Pelodiscus sinensis: one gene and its partners. The main gene of each other region encodes a partner of the protein of the gene in region 3 in a complex. Links are inferred from orthologs where the notes say so. Each region holds a gene or a part of one and is shown on either strand. Other genes may lie near its edges. The genes, in order: CYBB, RAC2 and NCF2.

Region 1 (7,256 bases), on a different chromosome or scaffold from region 3:
GTTTATTTTGGCTAAGTAACATACTTTGATCTGTCACTTGCAGTCACTTAAATCCTACTTTTTATACTTAATAAACCCACTTTTTTCTATTATCAAATGCAGGGGGAGGGGAGAACAACCTCTGTATATCTCTCTTTCACTGATAAAGAAGGCAAGCTTATAAGCTTTCTCTGCGTAAAACTCTTCTACAGAATAGGATGGATTTATTTGGGGTTTCAGTCCTTTTTGGGGGGCTGTATTCCTGGGTGCTGCCAACAGTCTTATAGCTGAGCCCTCCCAGGGCTGAGCTAGTTTGGTATCTGTGTAGCTCTGCTAGGGTGAGCCAAACTCTGAACCTTGGGTGGAGGAGATCAGAGATTCTGGCCCAGCAGGACAGGGTATGGAGAGCACCAGAGGGCAGGAAGGCAGGCATCAGTGACTTGATCAGCACAACAGATAACAAACCCATAGGGACCTCTGCGATCCAACCCGTCACAAGGACCTGTATCTAGGGGACATTGTACAAGGGAAAGTTTTCACTGCAAAGATGTGCAAGCTATTGTGCATAGATCTTTCCCTATTCAACTGGCCATTTTAAACCTTTATGCAAACAGAAAATTGTAAAGCATGAAAACACAGGAAATGCTGTTGTTTTGCAATCTCACCCTCTCTTTCAGAGGTGGCAGGTTTGCAGAAATGTTGCTGGTACTCAGAATATCCAGAGCTCACTCCCCTCCCCCATTTAATCTCCTGCTTAAGGCTGTGAGAGGGAGTTTGGGTGGGGAGGGGTTAGGGCTCTGGAAGTGAGTTTGGGTGCCAGGTGCAGGCTGTGGGCCAAAACAGGGAATTAGAGGCAGAAAGGGCTACTGGCTCTGGGAGGGAGTTTGGGTGCAGGAAGGATGAGGGGTGGAGTTCAGTGGGGCTTGGATGCAGGTGGAGATCTGGGATTCAGGTTCTGAGATGGAATCAGGGCACTGGCATGCAGGAAGAATGCAAGGTGCCGGCTCTGGGAGGGAGTTTGAGTGCAGAAGGGGATCTGTGGTGCAGACTTTGGGAGGGAATGTGGATGCTGGCTCTGGCCTGAGGCACTGGGGGCCTGGATGCAGGTTCTGAGAGGGAGTTTTGGAGCAGAACATGAGGGAAGTGGGGAGAAGGCGCAGGTTTTGGAGGGAGTGTAGTGCATAATGGCATGTGGAGGGAGGGAGTGTGGGGTGCCACACCAACCTGAGGCACTACCACCCCCGGCAGTGGCTCCTGGAGGGGGTGGTGGTCTCCAGGAACAGCTGCCTGCCTGCTACCCCTGCTTGCTCCCACCCCAGGTGTCCCCTAGTGTGAGCAGTGCACAGAAACACACACACACCAGCCACAGGGATAAACATACCAGCAGCCGCAGGGAGCTATCAGGAGGAAGCCACCCTACCCCTGCTTCACTGCTGGTGGTGATGGCAGGGGCCCCTGGGATATTTTAAGTTGCCCGGGGTGGCAGGCAGGGCCGGGGTTTGCACGGTGGGAGTGTGGGGGCAACAGGGAGGCTGGGGGATGCAAGAGGCTGAGGGAGCAGGCAGTGAGTTTTGCTGGAATATTTCTAGTGTCAGGGCACCATCGGCCCATCTAACTCACTCCCAGGAACCCTCCCTACAATGCTTCCTTGTCTTGTGTGTCATGCATGGTAAATGCAAGCAGACCACAAAGCTTACACCCACATGATGCAGGGAGTTTCATTAACTATAATAGAACATTATTCTATATTCTATGAACACTTACTGAGTAAGTTCAGTAACTATAATAGAACATGGAAGTACCATGGAAGGAACCAAGGGCTTCTCAGGGTTCAGTTGCCTATTATGAATTAGTCACCCATGGGGAAATCAGGGTCCCATTGAAGTCAATGTAAAACTCTCATTCACTACAATGGGGCCAAGATTTCTCCCATAGAACACATCACCTCTGAGAGTTGCTGACATCCATCTTTCATTTAGACTTACTGAGTGTACTGCTCCAGTCTGTTCCCAAGCAGCTGTCCCAGCTCAGTGGGGGCATTGTACCTCAGGCGGCCAGTTACCGCATATTCTGTGAGGTAATCATGAGTGTGGTAGTTTCGGGTTGTCAGACCCACTGGAGAGAAGCATGTTTCGCTTGCTTATAGAAGAGAATAATATTTTCAGTTGTTAAGTTTCGCTTCCTGTGAGGCATTTGACATTCTTCTTCTCTGGGAGCTTCTATTTACAGAAGAAAATCGTCAAATAATCTAAGTGGCCTTTCCACTTGCCTTCCCTGATGTCTGAGGGTCTCAGCCTTTTTTCAACTGTGCCCTTACTACCACCCTTTTTATTCTGACACTAATTATACAGTAACATACCATGGCAAAGGAGAAATTGCTCTTCCGTCCATATACCTGTGCTAACAGGACATTACAAAACCAGAACGAGATGTCTGAGCTGTCCACTCTGCTCGGAAATGCCATGGATCAGACATTGCCAAGTGCTGCAGTCAGCTCTGGGCCATGGCTGAGCTAAGCTTGGTGATTCTTGGATTCCTGAGAGGCCAGGAATCATTCCTGGTCCATGTAACTTATGCCCTGGCTTCAGTTGAGTCCAGTGGTTTGGCTGGAAGCCCAGAACAGCTGGAACTTAGGGCAGTCTGGCCAGACACCTTCTTTTCTCCCTTAGGGCCATTCTATGGCAATAGCAAATCCCCTTTAAAGTGGAGGCCTGATTTTCTCTGATGGGGAAATTTGACTGGTTCTGGCTGTGCAGAGGAACCGGGGAGCAGCCCAAAATCAGCACCTAACTACTGCAAATGTTTATCTTCAAAACATTCAGCCAGATCCTCAGCTGGTATCAGTTGGTGAATTTCTGTCAAAGCCAATTGACAGAGCCTTGGGAGCTCTCTGTTTGCCTAGGTATGGGAGGTGGATCACATCAGAAATGCTCGTGGTGGGGAACACTGTTGGAAGTGGGAAATTATCACAGGCAGGAGTCCTGATCTTATCTGAGATTCCCTGATCCTTGATCTCTGATTCCCATTACTGCCTATCTACCTTTTTGCTAGTATTTATATCCAGCTTTGGACAGTACAGTAAAACTCCAGTTGTTCAGCATCCAGTGGTCCGACACTCCTGCTAGTCCAGCACCACCTGGACCCAGAAGTGCTCCAGGCAGCCGGACAATTGGAGCTGCTCTGCCCCGGGCTTCCCCGAGTCAACCGCTGGTCAGTTTCAGCCGCGGCTGACTTGGGTATGCCCGGGGCAGAGCAGCTGGGGTGCTGAGTTGGTCCCATAGCACCACCCCTTTATCCCCCCCAGCCCCACCCCAGACTCCTCATAGCCCCCCCTTCCTATAGTCCAGCATATCTGATAATCCGGCATCCTCTGGGTCCTAAAGGTGCCGGATTATCGGAAGTTTACTGTATTTGGGACTCACATCATCGTCCGTGCTAAGTGTTCCAAAAATCATGAGATGGTCTTGAAAAAATATGAGCTTTTCAAAAGGCATTACAGGTGGGGGAAGGAGGGAGGCCTTCACTGTATTTGCTGTCTGGTGCCTGAGTCTATAGGATATATCGAGGCCACATTTCCACACTCTGCAAACATGAAGTCTAGAGTCTCCCCTACCCCCACTTTATTTGTTAGCAAAAACTTAAGATGAGATTCTCTCATAATCACATGCTTTCAGGAGCTGGACGTTTTAAAAAAGCACCCAAGTCTCAGGAGAATTGGCAACACTTTCAGGCTAGCTGAGGGGCATGTCCACACAGCACTGACTGAAGATCCAAGCGCAGAGCAGCCCGTAGGAAAAGACATCCCGTTCCTCTGACATATTTAGGTTCCTAACCTCCATTGAAAACACTAGAAGTTAGGAGCCTAAATCCCAGCCAGGATTTGGGCTAGAGTTGCTAGCCTATCAGGGAAGGGGAGGGTAAATCATCTTTGGAGGCGTTTGTGGGATGCTGAGCTGGAGGAATGTAACATATTATGGGGAGGAGGAGACTGGATCAGCAGGTGTGCGAGGGGCAGGGAGTAATGCTGGGGCGGGGGAATGAACTGAGGAGGAGTATGACCATGTTTAGTTTCTCATTGCACTAAGGGCTTCAATGCTGTAGTTATAAAAAGTCACTCCAAGTTGTTGGATGGAAACGCCCTCCAATGACATTTGCATAACCCAAAGTAACTCATACACAAGAAAAAGAAATTGTTCATTTCCAAGCTCTCCTTATTTATGGCTGGGTTCTTACACTGTTGTGTTTTCAGAGATAGCAAATTCAAACCATTGCATGGGTCAATGGTTAGCTAATTTCTAGATGAATGACAGAGGAAACAGGTTGCAACAAGGCAGCTGCTCTCACTTCCTTCTGTGAGGAGATACAATAGTTGTCTGAAAAGGAGCAAAGTCAGTGCACACTCTTCCCCAGCAACGATGGGCAACTGGGTGGTGAACGAGGGACTCTCCATTTTTGTCATTGTAAGTACAATACCTTTCTCTATTTTAAGTCTCCTTTGATTTGTTATATATGTTAAGTGTTTGGATGGGATAGTGATCATGACATATATGAGAGAGAGAGAGAGAGAGAGAGAGAGAGAGAGAGAGAATAACATTTCTGTAACAACGAGCAGTCCTGTGGCACCTTAGAGACTAACAAATATGTTATATCATGTGCTTTTGTGGGTAAAACCCACTTTGTCTGAGGTGCCACAGGACTGCTCGTTTTTAAAATTGCAGACTAACAGGGCTACCCCTCTAAGATGTATTACATTTCAATGTAAATTCCAAGAATGTAAAAAAGGCAATACCTTACCAGACTATCTAGAAATAAATGCTAATGAAACTGAATTATACAATAAATAATACTCAGTGTAGGCTATTTATATCAGACTGGCAAATTCTGGGATTCTGCATGTGGAGATACTTTGTTTAGACTTGCTGTGCTTGACTCTTGCATGGAAATGCAGCGAAAACAATTTTGTATCATTCTAGCCAGGGGTTTCAATTAGCTCGAAGCAGAATATAAAAGTGGTTGGAAATCCTCTCTTGTGTTGGGAAATTAGGGTCTGGGAAAAAGTGATTAACCTGGAAAAGTCAAGTTTGGTGATGAAAACTTTGATAGGGGGTTAATAATTTGTATTTTGTTTGATTTTATCAATAAAGCCAAATGTTCCAAAAGATTGGTTCAGAGTACATAGTGAATGTATTCATATGTGTGTATACACATACCAGTACACCCAGGATATGAATTCAACCTGATTCCTGTTACAGTATAGGCCTGTATTTTCCTTTCAAACAGTTGATTTCTATCTAAAGATATTTTAAAATCTGGCTTTATATATGGTGTAATTATGAGAAATAGTGATTGTATATCTCCAAAAGAGTTGCTAGAACATCATAAATCTGATTTTTAGATTTGTTTTCCAAATTTCTTAAAATAATGTAATAATACTAATGTTGTGTAATAGGTTTATTAAATGAATAGCTATAAACTAGTCTGGAAAATCATAGTGCAAATACTTTTGAATATGCTTAATTGTATACACCTGAGCAGTCCCACTGAAACCACTACTCAGGAGCCTGTAATTAAGTGTATGTCTACACTGCATTCCTCTTTAGAGAGAGCAATGCAAATGCAGACAAACAAAATTGCAAATGAAGTGCAGATTTGAATTTCCAGCACTTCCTTTGCATAATTGTGTCCTGGCGCTATTTTGAAATACCTTATTTTGAAAAAAGAAACGCTGTCTAGACGCAGTTATTTTGAAGAAAATCCTTCTTTTGAAATTACCTTTACTTGAGGTTTAAGGGTAATTTCAAAAGAAGGGTTTTCTTTCGAAATAACTGCATCTAGACAGCATTTCTTTTTTCAAAATAGGGTATTTTGAAATAGTGCTTGGATGCAATTATGCAAATGGGGCATGGGAAATTCAAATCCACGCTTTATTTGCAACTTCGCTCAGCTGCATTTGCATTCTTCTCTCAAAAGAGGAATTCGGTGTAGACATACTAAGAATGTGAGCAAGTGTTTGCAGGATCTAGGCCTTAATTTACCAGAGGCAAAATAAATGATGCTTTCATATTTAAAAGCTCAGCTGAACATTTTTTTCACATTAAAGAGCCTGTCTTAAGAAAATACTAATGATTAAAAAGATACAGATTTTTAGTTCTGTAATAACAGTACCTAGAGCTAGTCACAGAATTGCTGCCAGATGCTGTTAAAACTAATGTTCTGTATACCAATAGGAAAAAATGTAGACTTTGAAATGTAACATCTGTGGTGGCTGAAATGTGAACTTGTAGGAATGGTTTGTGCCTGTCATTTACTGTTAACTATTGCCTGTAATGACACATTTGAATATGCAGTAAGGACATCCAGATAGCACATACATACATTGATTTGTCAAGCTGTCATGGTCAGTGATTCGAGTGAGCAGAAGCTCACAGTAGCTGAGTTCTGGCATGTTTCCCTCACAAGAGCTGAATACAATCTGAATTAAAACAAAAGTGTATTTTCACTAGAGTAAGAAAAAGAAAGAGTTATTTGAAATAGATTGCAGTTCTAGAAATGCATTGAGGGACGGCTTCTTTAGAGGGTCTGTTTGGAACTGTGCTCAGCACTGTTCATTGTTATGTTACTACATGTTGCTTGGGTGTTGTTCCCCTGGTAGGACTTGAAATGCAGCCTTAGGAGTTCTTCTGCATTTTCCTTCCTACTATGCACTTTGACTCTAATGGAGATCCGGGGCCTGATTCTCTTCTCATGCATTCCGTTTAATACTAGTGGAACTCCATTGAGCAAAAATAGGCCTTTATAGTCTTGGCTGGCCCTAATCTTTATTACAATGCTTGAAAGGGGATGGGGGAAGGCAGGGCCTGTTGCAGAAACCACATCTGAATCATTAGGGTGGGGGCAAGCCACAGAGAAATGAGCGAATGCAGTGAGCTCTGCTGAGCTGTGTGCTCTGGCAGGGATTTCACAGAAACTCGGAATAAGTTTATAACTACCTGTGGAAATTGTGGGAGAGGGTCACCCTACAGTTTAAAGTGACCCCAGCCCTTTGGTGCAGCTTCAACTCTGGCTGCCAACAAGGGGAATCTGACTGAAGATCTGCCATTAGTAACGGTCATCAGCTCACACACACACACATGGCCTCAGGGGCCCCACACATGGCCGCACCTGAGCTAAAGGGGATGCTCAGTGAACGGCTGCAGTACTATGGCTTATTTCCTCCATAGGCCTACAACCTTGGATAGAGTGGCCTAAACACCCACACTTAAGAAGGTCTAATGTTG
Region 2 (7,154 bases), on a different chromosome or scaffold from region 3:
CAACACTATTCCAAAATAACTTAGCCTATGTCTACACAGAAGGCGGTTATTTCGAAGTAGTGTCAAAATACTGTCAAGCTACAGGACTTCTTACTCCGACTTCTGTAACCCTTATTGTACGAGGAGTAAGGGAAGTAGGAGGAAGAGTGCTCTATGGCGGAATAAGTGATGTGTAGACACTCTCTATTTCGAAATAAGATACACAATTAATGTAGCTCAATTTGCGTAGTTTATTTCGCAGTAAGCCCTGAAATGTAGATGCATCCATTGGGTGTGTCTACTCAACAATGTTATTTCGGAATAACAGCTGTTATTCCAAAATAACTATGTGAGCGTCTACACAGCAATTCCATTATTCCAACTTCTGTAAACCTCATTCTATGAAGAATAACACCTATTTTGAAATAAGGTATGTGAAGATCGGGTATGTCTACACACAATTTTTATTTCAGGAGAAGGATGCAAATAGCTCTGCGTATTTGCAAACTTCCTCCGGGTTTTTTTTCGGAAGATGCTCTTCCGGTATTTACCCATGTCTACATGCGTCCAGATTTCAAAATAAACCCCTATTTTGAAAGACCCCTGTAAAGCTCATTGTAGGAGGAATAAGGGATCTTTTGAAATAGGATTTTATTTAGAAATAGGAGTTTATTTAGAAATTTAGACACATGTAGACGCGGTTAAATACTGGAAGAACGTCTTCCAAAAAAAAGAAAAAACCCTGGAGAAAGTATGCAAATGCGCAATGCTATTTGCACCCTTCTCCCAAAATAAAAATTGTGTGTAGATATACCTGATGCTCCACTTCTGTTATTTCGAAATAGCCCCTCACCAGAGCCACTCTAAGTTATTCCTCCTAGGGCTCTAAATTGAGAGAACACGTCTATATTAGGGAAGCCTGCCTCGGACTAATTTTGAGGCTTCCCTGCAGTGTAGACATGTTATTTTGAAATAAGCTATTTTGTAATAACTATTCTGGAGTAGCTTATTCCAAAATAACTGTGCAGTGTAGACGTAGACATAGTAATTTAGTTGGAGTCGGTCCTGGTTTTGGTAGGGGGCCGGACTTGATGACCTCTTGAGGTCTCTTCCAGCCCTAGGATTCTATGAGACTGGGATGTGGGGAGCTAGGGGCTTCTGCCTTATGGGGAAAGTGGTCTTGGGCCTTCCGCTCTGCAGGAGACACCTGCTGGGGCTTCAGCAGGACTGTGGCTGAAACTGCAAGCCCTGCAGGCCTGTAGCCCCACGCACTGGCTGGCGTGTCCCACAGACACTACTAGCCCTGAGCCCCAGCTGGTGCACCCAGCTCTCACACTTCTGAAGATTTTTGTATGCAGCTAAGAGGTCAGTAAGTTTGGCCAACCCTGTTATATAGCTAGTGAACTGCTATCTCCTTCTCTATTTGGTTTGTTATATTTTCTCTGAATGGCTCATAGCCTGGCCATCCATGGCATGTGCGTGTTTCCCAGATTAAGCTGCTTTCCCCTTTTGTTATATAACCACATCCCTACCAGCCAGCTGAGGGTCCCATGGTTAAGAAGAATGCGGGCTGATTGGGTGGAAGGGAGGCCATCTGCTCAGGAGTGCAAGGCAAATTGGCTGGAAGGAGTCTGTAATGATCTGTGTGTGCTTGCATTTATGCTGTTCTGCCACTAGATGTCTCTGTGGATTGCATAAAGTTCCAGGCAGGGGGTGATCCCTGAAAACCAAGGAGACAAAGCTGGGACTCAAGCTGTGCGGAAGCCTGGTTGTCCTATAGTTGTAACTGACTTGTTTAATAATGTCACCTGTTTAAGATGGACTGATACTCCATATGGTATGAAACCAGCCAAGGAGGCCCTTCAATCCCACAGTGACAGGCAAAATATAAGAACGTAACTGGGACACATAGATCTTCCTTTAGGGAGGGGTTGTCAAACTGTGGGTCAGGATCACATTTTAATGGGGCTGACAAGGCTGGCTTAGACTGGCTGGGCCCCACGGCTGAAGCAGAAGCCCTTAGGCTTTGGCTCCCCATGTGGAGTGGTGAGACTTGGGCAAGCTCAGGCTTTCATCTCTGCTCTGGGGGTTGTGCAGTAATTTTTGTTGTTAGAAGGAGGTTGCAGTGCAATGAAGTTTGAGAGCCCCTAGTGTAGGGGAAAGGAGATGAATAGGACTTTTCAGGCTGGGGCACCTCTTCTTCCTCCATCAAGGGCTGTGCCTGCTGGTCCCCTACTTGTATATCTGAACATATATGGCTACATCTACACAGCTTCCCTCTTCTGCAAAAGCCTATGCAAATGAATCGCAGATTAGCATATTGCTGTGCTTCATTTGCATAATTAATTAGGAGCCGTTTTTGCAGAAGAGGTTTTTGCGCAAGAGCCGTTCTTCCTCATTTTTTCAAGAAGAATGGCTCTTGCACAAGAGGGGGGTTTTGTGCAAAAAGGTGCTGTGTACATGGTGCCTTTTTGTGCAAAAACAGTGCCTAATTAATTATGCAAATGAAGAGGGGCAATATGCTAATCTATGCTTCATTTGCATAAGCTTTTGCAGAAGAGGGAAGCTGTATAGATGTAGCCTGTGTGTTGTTTCTTCACAGCACCAATCTGGGCAGGAGTGGAGAGCGGGGAAAGGTCTTCTAGAGGCAGAAGCCATGCAGAGGGAGAAGCAGAGTAGCAGCAGAGATAATGCTGCTTTCCTGATTCTAAGAAAGTTCCTTGTTCAGCTGTCTCTGAGTTTATTGCTCACACCTGACACCAGGAAGGCTGGGAGGCCCTGCAACAAATCAGTCAGGAGCCCACTCCTCTTCTGCACTCATAGCAGATTGCCCTGCCTAGGGAGTGCTCACTGCACCTGCCTGAAAGAAAGGGGGCTCTGGGGAAGCCGGAATGCAAAGGGGACCCCTCCCTTTGCAAAGATGAGTGAGTGTTGTCCCCTCCTTCTCCTCCTTAATGTAACCCCTGACTGGAAGCAGCACAGCACCCCCTGCTGCTCAAAGGGGGACAGAAGGTGTAGAAAAAATTGCTTAGGTCATCAGGACATGAAACTGGTTTTTAAACTGCAGGTGCATTAGGGCTGCCAGGTGTCTGGTTTGCAGCTGGGATGTATAGTTGAGAAGGGAACCTGGCAGCGTGCCGTCCGCAACTGGCCTCCACCACGGGAGAGGGGATATGGAAAAAGCAGCAGCTGCAGCCGGAGGCACATGGAGGCGCTGCTCTCTGCTCAGTAGCTGATGCCTGATAGAGAGCAGTGGCAGGCTTCCAGATCTGGCTCCAAGAAGTAGAGGAGGATCCGGTCTGCTCACCCCTCCCTCCCCCAACTGTTACTTGCATAAAATGTGGTCAGCCTCACACTCTAGGGACACCCACTCTTCTCTGTTTCTATGGCTCAAGAATTACCTTCCACTATAGGCACCCACCCTCAGCCTTCCATGGGCTCCGGCATAACCTAACACTCTGTGGGTTCGCAGGGTCTTTTATCCATGGAAGAGCCTCACACAGTACTATCCTATTTAACAGTCCTACAGTAAGACAGATCAACTTTTCCTGTTGGCCAAGCAGGATCAGGTCCGAAGCTCCCCCTAAGCAGCGCAGCTGTGCACTTTCTCGTTAAGCCCCACTCATATCCCACTATTTTAATGTAATTTGGGCGGAATGAGGATGCGACTTCCTGCGTCTTAGTTAATGGCTGCTGCTCTTTCCATCTGGCTGCAGATGAGGGCTGTAGGCTTTAGGCCTTACAACATGGCTACAGAAAAAGGCCTTGTTCTTACATTTACACTGCCCTGCTGTGCCCTCATTGCCCTGGCCCCTCACTATGGGGATGATCCCTGCTGAGCCCCAGGCAGGCTGCATTTTAGCTTCTCCCAATCTCACTCTGCGAGCAGCAGGTAAGTCCCAGAAGAGGTGGGACTGGGGTGGGGAGTGGAGAGTGAGTGGTAGAGGGAGGCGGAAGAGCAGTGAGCAGGGGCGGGGTCTCAGGAAGAGGAGGGGCGGGGCTTTAGGGAAAGAGGTGGGGCAAGCAATTAAAAAGTCGGCAGTCTTAACACTAGCACAGGCCCCGCCTTTTTTTAGCTGTAGCCTGAACTACTGGGTGGAGGGGGGACTGACGTGGAGGGTTAAGTAACATTCTATCTATCTTCCACTTCCTCCCTCCTCACAATCTGCTGCTTCCTTCACGCTAGGTTTGACATTACATTTGTACAGGTCTTTCCTCTGGTCACCTGAGAGCATTAAGTCTGCCTGACTTCTCCTGCCCCAGGAGCCATCCTCCTCCGTGAGGCCTGAGAAATGCAGGCCATCAAGTGTGTGGTGGTGGGAGATGGGTATGTACCTTCTTTTGTGGTGGAGGGGGGCAAGAAGGGGGAAGGTTGGTTCTTAGTGAAATGTCACCTTCTTTGCTTTCGATTTCCTCTGAACGGCTTTCCCTTTTTCTGTCAGGTAGGGTGTATGGGGGGAGGGGAGGGGGCAGCCTGTGATGGAGGTTGTGCATTATGTCGGGGTTGGGGAAGGGCACTTTTCAGAGCAGGTGGAAAAGAGCCGCTGAAAGACAACCTATGTGGCTATTCTCCCCTAGATGAAGGTGCCCCCTTTACAGTGTCTCCTCCTCTGCGGCTATTGATGGTGGAAGGGGAGCCAGGTTTAAAATAAGGTGGGGGAGACTAGTTTCCCTTCTACTGGGCCACACCACACATGACTGGGGAGGGCACCGACACATGGTGGCAGTGGTGAATGGAGAGCGCTGTGGGTCCCCTCCTGTGGATCTGAGTTCCCATGCCTTCTCTAAGGGGGGGGGGGGTCCAAGGGGGCACTCCGGGGAATTTCCATGGATACAGCAGCAAGATGTTCCTTTCCCTTTTGCCGCTGAGGGGCACAATGTGCTCCGTCTGCCTGGGCTGTGCGAGGCGATGAAACCCAGGCAGCTGAGCATAGCATAATCACCTGATTTATCCACTGCTTGGGCAGCATGTATGTGGCCTTGCCAAGGCCTTCAAGAGCAGCAGCTTCCTCAGGGCAGTACCCAGAGGGCTGCTGCCCCTGGGCAGGGAAACAAGCATCCAGGGCCCAGGAGAGTGTCTGTGAGACCGGAGTCACGTCTGGCGCTCAGAGTGAAGCCAGTTTCAGGCGGGGAGCTGTTTTGATGATGTTATCTGGGGCAGATGAAGTGACATTGTTAGAGGCCCTGCACCCCACAGTCACTTCCTCCTTCCCACTGGCCACAGGAGGAAGTTTGCAGACAAGTGATTAAATTTTAGAAACCACCTCGGAGGCGGAGGCAGGGGCAGGCAGCAAGGGTGGAGGAAGGGCAGAGAACTACAGTACAAAGAAAACCCCAAACAAATATTGCTATGGGTCAGGAAAGTACCATAAAGATCAGAAACTAAGGATTATGGAGCTGTACCTGAAACAACTCGCACAGGAAACACCCTGGGACTAACCCCACAACTGCCCCCACCTCCTGTCCCTTAACCCTGCTAACCTCCAACACAACAGCAGTATTCTTCCCCAAAGCTCTACCAGCCCAGAGCCCCCTCCAAAACTGCTATCCCCATAAACTCACCATAGCTCAATGGCTGTATCCCCGTAATCAGTCCCCAGCACAATCACCCGTAACTCTCCTTCAGAACTGCTAATTCCATCACTTCCTCCACTACTGGCACTCTGCTAACCTCAGAGCCTCCCCCACACCTCTGCTTTCCCTCCCCTCTGGAGAGCCTCACTGGCCCTATAAACCTCCCATCCCTTTCTGCTGAGAGGCTGGAGCCAGGCATACAGTGATGGAGAGTGTGGGAGAGATTGAGGAAAGGGAGAAGAGAAAGGTAGCAAAAGTAGAAAGGAGGAAATGTACGGGAGAGGCACAAGAGGCACTCCAATTCCTCCTGAGTCTGCACAATGCAGCAATGGGGGCTGTAACCCTGTGACTCATGCCTGCTCTCTCTTGCCCTCCAGGCCACCTTGCAGGGGCAAACACTAGGGCTGGGTAGAAAGTCTTAGAAAGATTTTGTCGATGAAATTGGCATATGCTAAGCAGTGACTCACGTATCCTGTGTGGAGAGAGCAAGCCAGCCTTCCTCCCTTACCTAATAACCAGATCTGATTTCTCATCAGCTTCTTGCAGGACTTCATGGTGCTGCCTCCCACCAGATCAGTATTGTTATCTCCATTTTACTGATGGGGAAACAGAGGCAGGATAAGATTGAATGACTTGCCCTACATCCCTTTAGCTTTCCTTGTTTGTCTTGGCTGTGATTCCTGGTCCTCTCTTTTTTCCTTCATAGTTGGTTCCCTGGCTCTCCACTATATATGGTTGGAAACTTTTCCATGAAACTTTTTTTTTTTTGGACAGAAAATGTCAATGCATTGAGATGGTGTCTCGGGTCCACAATGAAATTTCTGGAGAACATGCCTTGGAGCACTCAGTTTGACTGTGGGGGACACAGGTTTAAATCCCTGCTCTCCTGGCATTTCTTTGTAGTGCCTTTGGCCTGGTCTCTCACACACTAGTTAGTGTCTTCTTCTCGTGATTAGAATGTGTTCCTGTTCTGCCCACCATGGTCCACTGAAAGCTGGGTGGTGGTGGTGCTAGTCACTTCGGAGTGTTTGTCTGCACAGCAAAGAAAAACCTGCTTGCTGTGGGGCTGTTTCATTGCTGTTTAGATAGCTGGAGCCCAGGCTCTGGATTCTGCCACTCTGAAGGATTGTAGAGTCTGGCTCCAGCCTAAGCCCGGAAGCCTACCTAGCAATGAAACAGCCCGACTCAGTGAGCCTGGCATGGGCCAACCACAGGTGTCTAGTTGCTGTGGTGACATACCCTGACATACAGGAAGTCAGAGTAGATGATCTGGTGGCTTTTCTGACCTTAAACCTTATGACTCTGTGAGATGTGCAGAGAAGGAGGGTGAAGAGAACTTTGACTGTCAGGAGCAGCCTCACTGCAGGCAGCCTGGCTCGGAAGTGCCATTTCAGCTGGAAGGAGTGTGTGGTGACTATGAGGCTATGTCTACGCTGCTGGCTTTTGCCGGCAGAGGGTATGCTAATGAAGCGCTCATTAGCAGTGGTTGCACTGTCATTTGCATATTCTCTGCCGATGCTTTTTGCGCAAGAAGTTTTTGTGCAAAAACAAGCAGTGTCGACGGGTCCGTTTTAAGCTGAAAACTCCGTTTGCGTAAAATC
Region 3 (7,609 bases):
ATCCAGGCTGCACCATAGTGTCTGCTCTGTCCGCTTGCATCTGCCAGGCAATGGGAAAGGAGAGATTCCTCAGAAAGGCATCATGGCATGGACGTCGAATCTCCCCAGCATGCAGCAAAGTAGTTGCCACGTTTGCTTCAGGATGGATAAGCACCTGTCAGGAACAATCTGGTTATGTACGTCTGCCCTGAGGGCAGGGGACTGGACTAGACAGCCTCTCGCATTCCCTTCCAGTCCTACACTGTCATTCATGTTAAAATTCGACACTCTCCAAAAAGGAATGAACAAACACTCGAACTATCTTACCCATTACCAAGATAGCTTCCCCAATTATCACCTCTAATACCATTAACTCACAAACATCCCACTCTCCCCACCTCTAATATCATCAATTCACAGACACTTACCTTCCTTCCTTCTTCCCCCCCCCCCCCCCCGCATCTCCCTCCTGTTCTGAAATGTGATTTGTCCTTTTCATGTGTGTTCATTTTTTTAAATTGTATCCTTTGGTATATATGGTTGTGACTATTTTCTTCCACTATTTGATCTGAGGAAGTGGGTCTGGCCCACGAAAGCTCATCACCTAATAAACCATCTTGTTAGTCTTTAAAGTGCTACATTGTCCTGCATTTTGCTTCTCCTACACTCCTGTGAGTCTACGATCATCCCTAGCAGATAAAACTCATGGCACACAAAGCGCTTAGCGGAAGGTTTCAGTGTCACTGCTCTGCATCCCTCCCCCCTTACCAGTCTGAAAGGTAAAACTACTCAGCTATTGTGTATTGCACTGTGTACACAGAAAACAGCTGCATTCTAGCCCCAGAAGTGGCTGCATTTCAGGAAGGCCACTGTAGCCTACGCTGTCTCACAGGGGTGCTGTGAAGGCTAGGCTACGTCTACACTGGCATGATTTTCTGAAAATGCTTTTAACCGAAAAGTTTTCCGTTAAAAGCATTTTCGGAAAAGCACGTCTAGATTGGCAGGACGCTTTTCCGCAAAAGCACTTTTTGCGGAAAAGCGTCCGTGCCAATCTAGACGCGGTTTTCCGCAAAAAAGCCCCGATCGCCATTTTCGCGATCGGGGCTTTTTTGCAGAAAACAATACTATGCTGTCTACACTGGCCCTTTTGCGCAAAAGTCTTTCGGAAAAAGACTTTTGCCCGAACGGGAGCAACATAGTATTTCCGGAAAAGCACTGATGATTTTACAGGAGATCGTCAGTGCTTTTGCGGAAATTCAAGCGGCCAGTGTAGACAGCTGGCAAGTTTTTCCGCAAAATCGTGTGATTTTGCGGAAAAACTTGCCAGTCTAGACACAGCCCCAGTGTTTGTAGTGGATTTTAGGAAGCAAGATGTTAGCAAATGGAAGTGCCAGGTTTTCTTGAAGTTTACCACCTCATAGAATGAAACAATTACATCAAATCAATTATGTCAAGCAGGTACCACGAGGAAGACACCCGCTCCAGCACTGAAAGTCGAGATGAATACCTACCTGCTGGGGTTGGTCGTTTGCTTAGTTTTTGTTTTAATAGAGGGAAAATGGATGCACTAGGCCAGGCATGGCCAACCCGCAGCTCGCGAGCTGCATGCAGCTCTTCCCCCCCGAAAGTGCTGCTCACGAAGCCGCCCCTGCACCCCTGAAAATGGCCCCCGGCTCCCTGTGCTCTCTGGAGAAGGAAGCCATCGTTCCCTGTGCTCTCTGGATCAGGGGAGCCGTCCAGCATGGCCATTCAAAATGGCATCTTCAAGATGGCGGTGGCCAGTGGGAGCCTTTAAATGCGTTTCTTAAGGGGGCAGTCCTTTTTTTTTCCCCCCAACAACTTGGGGGGAGGGGTGTGGAGGGACTTCTTTTTTTTTTCTTTTCCTCAACTATTTTGCCCTGGCTCTTCGCGCTGTATCCACTGCTATTTTGGCTCTTTGTCCGGAATGGGTTGGCCACCCCTGCATGTACTGTACCTTTCAGATGCTCTCACCTTTCTGTCAGCTGATGTGGCATAAGAAAAGCTGCTGCTCTCATGGATAAAGCTCTGGTCCTTTGGAACGAAAGGTCTTTGTCTCTCGTATTGATTTTATTTCTATTACCGTGGCAGCCAGCAGCGCCAGCTGAGCGCAGGGCCCCAGGCACTAGCAGAGCTAACCACCTACACAAACTGACGGGAGGGGAAGCTGGCAGACAGAAGTGAGGTGAAGCAACTTGACCAGCGTCACAGGGCCCAATAACAAGCTGCTTTGCATGGCGAGCCAGAAGATGGAAGGAACAGTCAGGAGGAAGTAAGCAGCAGCTTCGCTGCCGCTGAGCATTTAAATGTCTATTTTAAACACATTTTAAATGACTCCTGCACAAAAGGCGACCACGGGCCCCACAGAGAAGAGTTTCCACACTCACACGGAGTTTGTTTTCCCACCCCGTTCCTTCGATGCCTCTTCACCCGTGCAAAGGCGCTTTTCCGGAAGCAGGAGATCATAGTCCCCAAGCTGTGCCTGAGTAGATGCTGATGGTGCTGAGCTTGTTACCTAAGAGCCAGAGAGAGAGAGAGAGAGCTTGAGATGCTCTGTATTGTATTTCTGATTACAAATGAGTCACCGTTTCTCAGGAATACAGATTCCCCCGCCACCCACGCAAAAGCAGAAATCAGACAAAAGAATTTCTGACAGGTTTATCCAGGGCTGCATGAGAGTTACTTAGGATGTAGCCACGGTGCTGGAGTTTTAACAACAGTTGCGTTCCCCGATCTCACACTATTTTAGGAAGGAAGGTGAATATAAATATCCCTATTTTAAACATGGGGAAACTCAGGCAGAAAGGGGCAGTCATTTGCCCAAGAATACAGGGCTCCAGTGCCAAGGAAAGTAAGTGGCAGATCTGGGAACAGAGCACAGGTTGCTGGACACCCAGGTTAATATTCTCTGCACTGGTCTGTGCTGCCTCCTGTCAGGTCAATTTAGTGCTCGGAAAAAGGGTCAAATTCACAGCTTTTGAGGACCAAAATCCTCTGCAGGCTGGTTCTTATCTTGTGATGGAAACTGTAGGCCCAAACAGAGCTGGGCCCTGAGCCAGGAAGAATGCAAGGCACAGAAAAGAGAGGAAACGGTTCTTCTCACAGAGAAAGGAGTTGCCGGAGGTTGAACAAAGCCCTCAAAAGATCCAGCCTGTGCTGCTCGTGACAGATAGGGTGGCCAGGTGCACGGTTTTGAACCGGACAGTCTGGTATTTGAGGGTTCTGTCCAGGAAACAAATTGAGAAAATACCGGACGTATAAACTGTCTGGTATTTTCTAATTCGGTACGTTTGATTATTATTAGGCGTATCAGTGTGTAGTTGAGAACTGCCTGGCTGTAGACACGTTCACGCTGCGTGAGTATGTCTACCAGCCAGGCAGTACGAAACTACACGAGGGGGGCGCGGGGCCAGGACGGGAGGGAATCCCCGGGGCCAGACTTGCTCGTACTTCACCGGGACCATGCGCGGGATGGGCAGCGCCCTGGGATCTGCGTGCAACCGGATCAGTCCCGCTCCCTGCTGGCCAATTCTCTCCCCACACTTCCTCCCCGGCCAGCCCCACTCTCCCCACTCCCCTCCCAGCCAGCCCTGCTGGTCCGCCCCTCCTCTGATCTCCCCTGCTTCCCGCCGGCTGGTTCTCCCCCCAATCCTCCTGCACTCCCCTGGCCAGCTCCACTCTCCCTGACCCCCTCCCGGCCAGCCCTACTTCCTCCCCTCTCCGGTCTCCCCCGGCCAGCCCCACTGCCCCCAACCCCGCCAGCCCTGCTTCCCGCTGGCTGGTTCTCCACCTCCTCCCAGCCAGCCTCACTCCCCTCCTGGCCGGTCCCCCTCCCCAATCTGAGATGAAGTGTGTCCGGTATTTTTTTTGGAAGCCACCTGGTAACCCTAGTGACAGAACAAGTGCACTTGAAGCACAGGCCAAAGGAGCGATGGAGTCATGATACTGTGAAAAACCAGCATTAAAGCAGGACAAGAGCAGGAGTTTTAGCATTTTCATTTCTGGGGAGAAGCTGTTGCAGGCTGAGTTCAGCCAAAGTGACAGGCCTGGTCCCACAATTGCTGCAAACACACCTTGGCATTTCAGCCTTGTTTTAAGTCACCTCAGCCTGCTAGATGGGTTGCACTTCCCCTCCCACACCTGGAGGGCAGTGAAGAGGATGCACCCAGCACCAGAGGGCGGCTAGGTGCTGCCCTGGGGAAGCCGTGGGGACATTTCAGGCTGCCTTTCAAGGGGCCCTGGCATTGATGCTCCGATTCCTCCAGGCTGCATTGTCAGTGCGCTGTGACTCAGCCACGACTTCAGGGTCACACTCACTATGACAAGCACAACCCCCCAAGTCACAACCACCCTCTGACAGATGTGCATGACTTCAGCTGAAGATCCCTGCAAAGCAAAGTCGAAAGCAGTGGGGGCGGCCGTGGCGAGGGGGAGAGTGTGTGTGTGTGTGGGGGGGGGGGGGGTAGTTAGAGTGACACACCAAGAATACGTTTAGGAAATAATTCACCCTGGCCAGCATCTGCTCCACTTCCCCATCACAGCAGGGCTGAGTCAGTAACTACCAGTGGGGACACTTCCTGGTTGGTTTGCGACACTGCGGGCTCCGGGGGAAACACAGAAGTACAAGTAAGAGCGGTGCAGAGGGGCAGGGGCAGGGGCAGGCTGTAGAGAGCAAAGCAGGGCTGCAGCAAGGGGAGGCCCGTCCTGACCCCATTGCTGCACCATGGCTCTGGCGGAGACCATCCGACTGTGGAACGAGGGAGTGTGCGCGGCTGACCGGAAGGACTGGGCAGCCGCGCAGGGTGCTTTCACCACAGTGCAGAACCCCCCTTCCAAACTCTGCTTTAACATTGGCTGCATCCACCTGACCCTGGGGAATTTGACTGAGGCAGAGGAGGTAAGAACCCCCCCTCCCTACCCACACACACACACACACACACACACACACTCCTCCTGTCACAGGCCCCTTCCACAGGCTGGTCTGACTGGTGCACCACAAAGCCCAGACGGCAGCTACCGCGCCCCTGACACGCCGAGGGACTGAGGCGGGTGGCTGGCCCCTGGGACGACTTGCAGACAAGCAGGTGCAGCCCCTGGCTTGTGCTGTCGCCTGACGGGCAGCAGGGCCCTCGGCACGACCCCGAGGGGCTGGCGGCAAACTGGCCAGACCGTGTGCAGCGCGGGCGGGGGGGTGCAGGAGAGGGGGCATTCAGTGCCCATTCAGCTACTGCTGGCCTGAGAGTGCATGGGCCTGGTTAGGAAGAGAGGGAGCCGACAATGCCTCCATTTGCCCAGTTCATGCCTTCCGCTCGGCTCAAATTCAGCTGACACATGGGACCCAGCAAGAGCCGGGCAGAAAATGGTTTTCTTGATTCAGAGCAGGGACTTGCTCCCAGCTGTCCAGGCCCCAGCGAGTGCCTTGGGCACCAGGCTATTGGCTGCCCTAGAGCAATGGGGGGTCGGGGAGAGAAATTCCAACGTGGGCCTAGGCGGCCTTTCCAGTTTCCCACTCAGCTCTAGTCTCCACTTGGGGCATCAGAAACACTGGTCAGGGGAAACCCAGCAGGCATGTAACGGAGGGGCAGGCAGGATGTGTGGGGGGGTTCCCCTTGTCTCCCCTCTCTCCATGTTCCCCTTTCTTCTTCACGCTGCCCTCGTGGCTCCCCTCAGCACTGGGAGGGTCTCCCCTCAGCACGTTCCACTGCTCTGCATGGGCACAGGCTCCACCCTGACCTCCCCGTCAGTGTCCAGGTCTCCTCCTGCCTCTCTCGGCCAGTCTGCCTGTGCCAGGTCTGAACCACCTTCTGCTCTCTGCAGGCGTTTTCCAGGAGCATTCACTGCGACAAGCACTTGGCCGTGGCCTATTTCCAGCGGGGGACCGTGTATTACAGGAGAGAAAAGTGAGTGTTTGGCAATCTCCGGTGGGAGGGGGGGGGGGGGTGTCGTGCTGCTTCTAGACAGAGCCATTTCTGGTTCCCGGCTGGCTGAGAGCAGCCATTTGGCAAGGCCGTCCTGTTGTGCTGCCAAAGCTGAGTAACTAGAGCTAGGACTCACCTCCCAAGAGAAGCAGGTTCTCTTAGAGGCGGAGGCCTAGTGGGTGGCGAGTGGGGATGGGAACCTGGGGAATACCCCAGTGCCTTTAAAGACACCCCCAAAAACAAAGACGATGAGCTGGCTAAAGCCTGCAGGGCAGGGCCTGTCTGGCACATTGTACAGCCGCCTAGCGCAGCGACGATGCTGCTCACCCTGGTTGTGGGTTTGGAAAGAGCCTGGATGGAAGGGAGAGGGGGACAGACTTCCAAGCTGGCAAGCAGGCTGGCAAACCGCCATGGACACAGTCACACCAAAAATATCTGACAGCTGAGTCCCTCGAGGCAGAGAACCACTCCAGCTGGCCCCAGGAGTTGGGTAATGGTAAACGGCCATCAGTACTCCACGGGCTGGCGGGGGTCGTCTCCCAGCAACTCAGGCTAGAGCCGGGCTCTGAGGGCGTGAAAGATGGCAGGCAGCCCAGAGCCGTGCCCTGAGAGTTTGCACCTTTCTTTGCTCTACAGCTACAAACTGGCCATTGAGGACTTCAAAGAGGCACTGGCCCAGCTGCGAGGGAACCAGCTGATAGACTACAAGATCCTGGGGCTGCAGTTCCGGCTGTTTGCTTGTGAGGTGAGGGCGTGCAGGGGCTGAGAGTCCCTGAGACAAGCAAGGGCAGCTGGGAAGCGCAGGAGGGGAGGGAATGGGGTTGGAAGCTAACCCAGCATCACTCAGCCAGTGGGTGCCACACACAAGGGGTCACCAGGGGACACAAAGCACAGTGGTAGTGAAAGCAGCAGAATCCCAGGACTCTAGGTACCCATCCCCCATGGGTGGTTGGCAGGTCAAAAAGGGGTTGAGAGAGCCCCTCGCGATAGCCAGTGAGGGCTGGCTGTGGGCACTCAGATCTGGGGAGAGAAGCGGAAGAGCTCTCTGCGGCCTGGTCTTTTCTCTCTCTCAGTCCGGGACGGGTCCCACCACCACCATGAGCCTCCCCCGAGACATCAGCCTCTGTACCCAGATTAGTAGGGGCCTACCAAAATCATGGCTGGGAAACATTCATCATGGGCCATGAAATCTGATCTCCCTCGTGAAATCTGGCTCTGTAGGGGGGACCCCAGAGCTGGGCAGTTGGAGAGCAGCAGCTGCTGATCAATAGCCACAGCCATCCAATCCACAGGACAGTTCGGGATGACCACCCCAGCCCCAAGCTTTGGCCCACAGTGGTTACCCCAACTGTCCTATGGATGGGATGGTCCCCCACATGGACACTAGCCTGAAGGTGGCCTAGGGCGAGCAACAGGGGTCAAGCCCCCCCCCCCCACTCGCGGAAGTGGGGCGATGCAGCCAACAGCCTGCTCTGCTCCATCTCCATCTTGCAGCCATGTGGGTCACTTCACCACGGCGGCAGGAAGCAGAGCCCCCCGCCTGCTCCCCCAGAAGCCCTGTGTCGCTTGAGGGAGCGGGCAGAGGCTGGGGCGCGCTGCTTCCTGCTCCACAGAAGAGCGGAGCAACCTGGCGGGGAGGTGGTGGTGGAGCAGAGCCGGCTGCTGGTTGCGTTGCTCCGTTTCCTTCGGCCCAC

Evidence for each region.
Region 1: NCF2 (region 3) and CYBB share a complex: the UniProt entries of both Homo sapiens proteins name them as parts of the phagocyte NADPH oxidase complex. The link is inferred for Pelodiscus sinensis from reciprocal best matches to the Homo sapiens genes NCF2 and CYBB.
Region 2: NCF2 (region 3) and RAC2 share a complex: the UniProt entries of both Homo sapiens proteins name them as parts of the phagocyte NADPH oxidase complex. The link is inferred for Pelodiscus sinensis from reciprocal best matches to the Homo sapiens genes NCF2 and RAC2.

Annotation. Positions count from the first base shown.
Region 1 is NC_134711.1:196,970,236-196,977,491, reverse strand, and holds the start of CYBB (NADPH oxidase 2), read left to right. Parts: upstream 1-4,187; 5' UTR 4,188-4,394; coding exon 4,395-4,439; intron 4,440-7,256. UniProt on the Homo sapiens protein: Catalytic subunit of the phagocyte NADPH oxidase complex that mediates the transfer of electrons from cytosolic NADPH to O2 to produce the superoxide anion (O2(-)).
Region 2 is NC_134711.1:92,838,597-92,845,750, forward strand, and holds the start of RAC2 (ras-related C3 botulinum toxin substrate 2), read left to right. Parts: upstream 1-4,071; 5' UTR 4,072-4,271; coding exon 4,272-4,306; intron 4,307-7,154. UniProt on the Homo sapiens protein: Plasma membrane-associated small GTPase which cycles between an active GTP-bound and inactive GDP-bound state.
Region 3 is NC_134719.1:57,237,361-57,244,969, forward strand, and holds the start of NCF2 (neutrophil cytosol factor 2), read left to right. Parts: upstream 1-4,590; 5' UTR 4,591-4,720; coding exon 4,721-4,894; intron 4,895-5,814; coding exon 5,815-5,897; intron 5,898-6,551; coding exon 6,552-6,660; intron 6,661-7,609. UniProt on the Homo sapiens protein: Subunit of the phagocyte NADPH oxidase complex that mediates the transfer of electrons from cytosolic NADPH to O2 to produce the superoxide anion (O2(-)).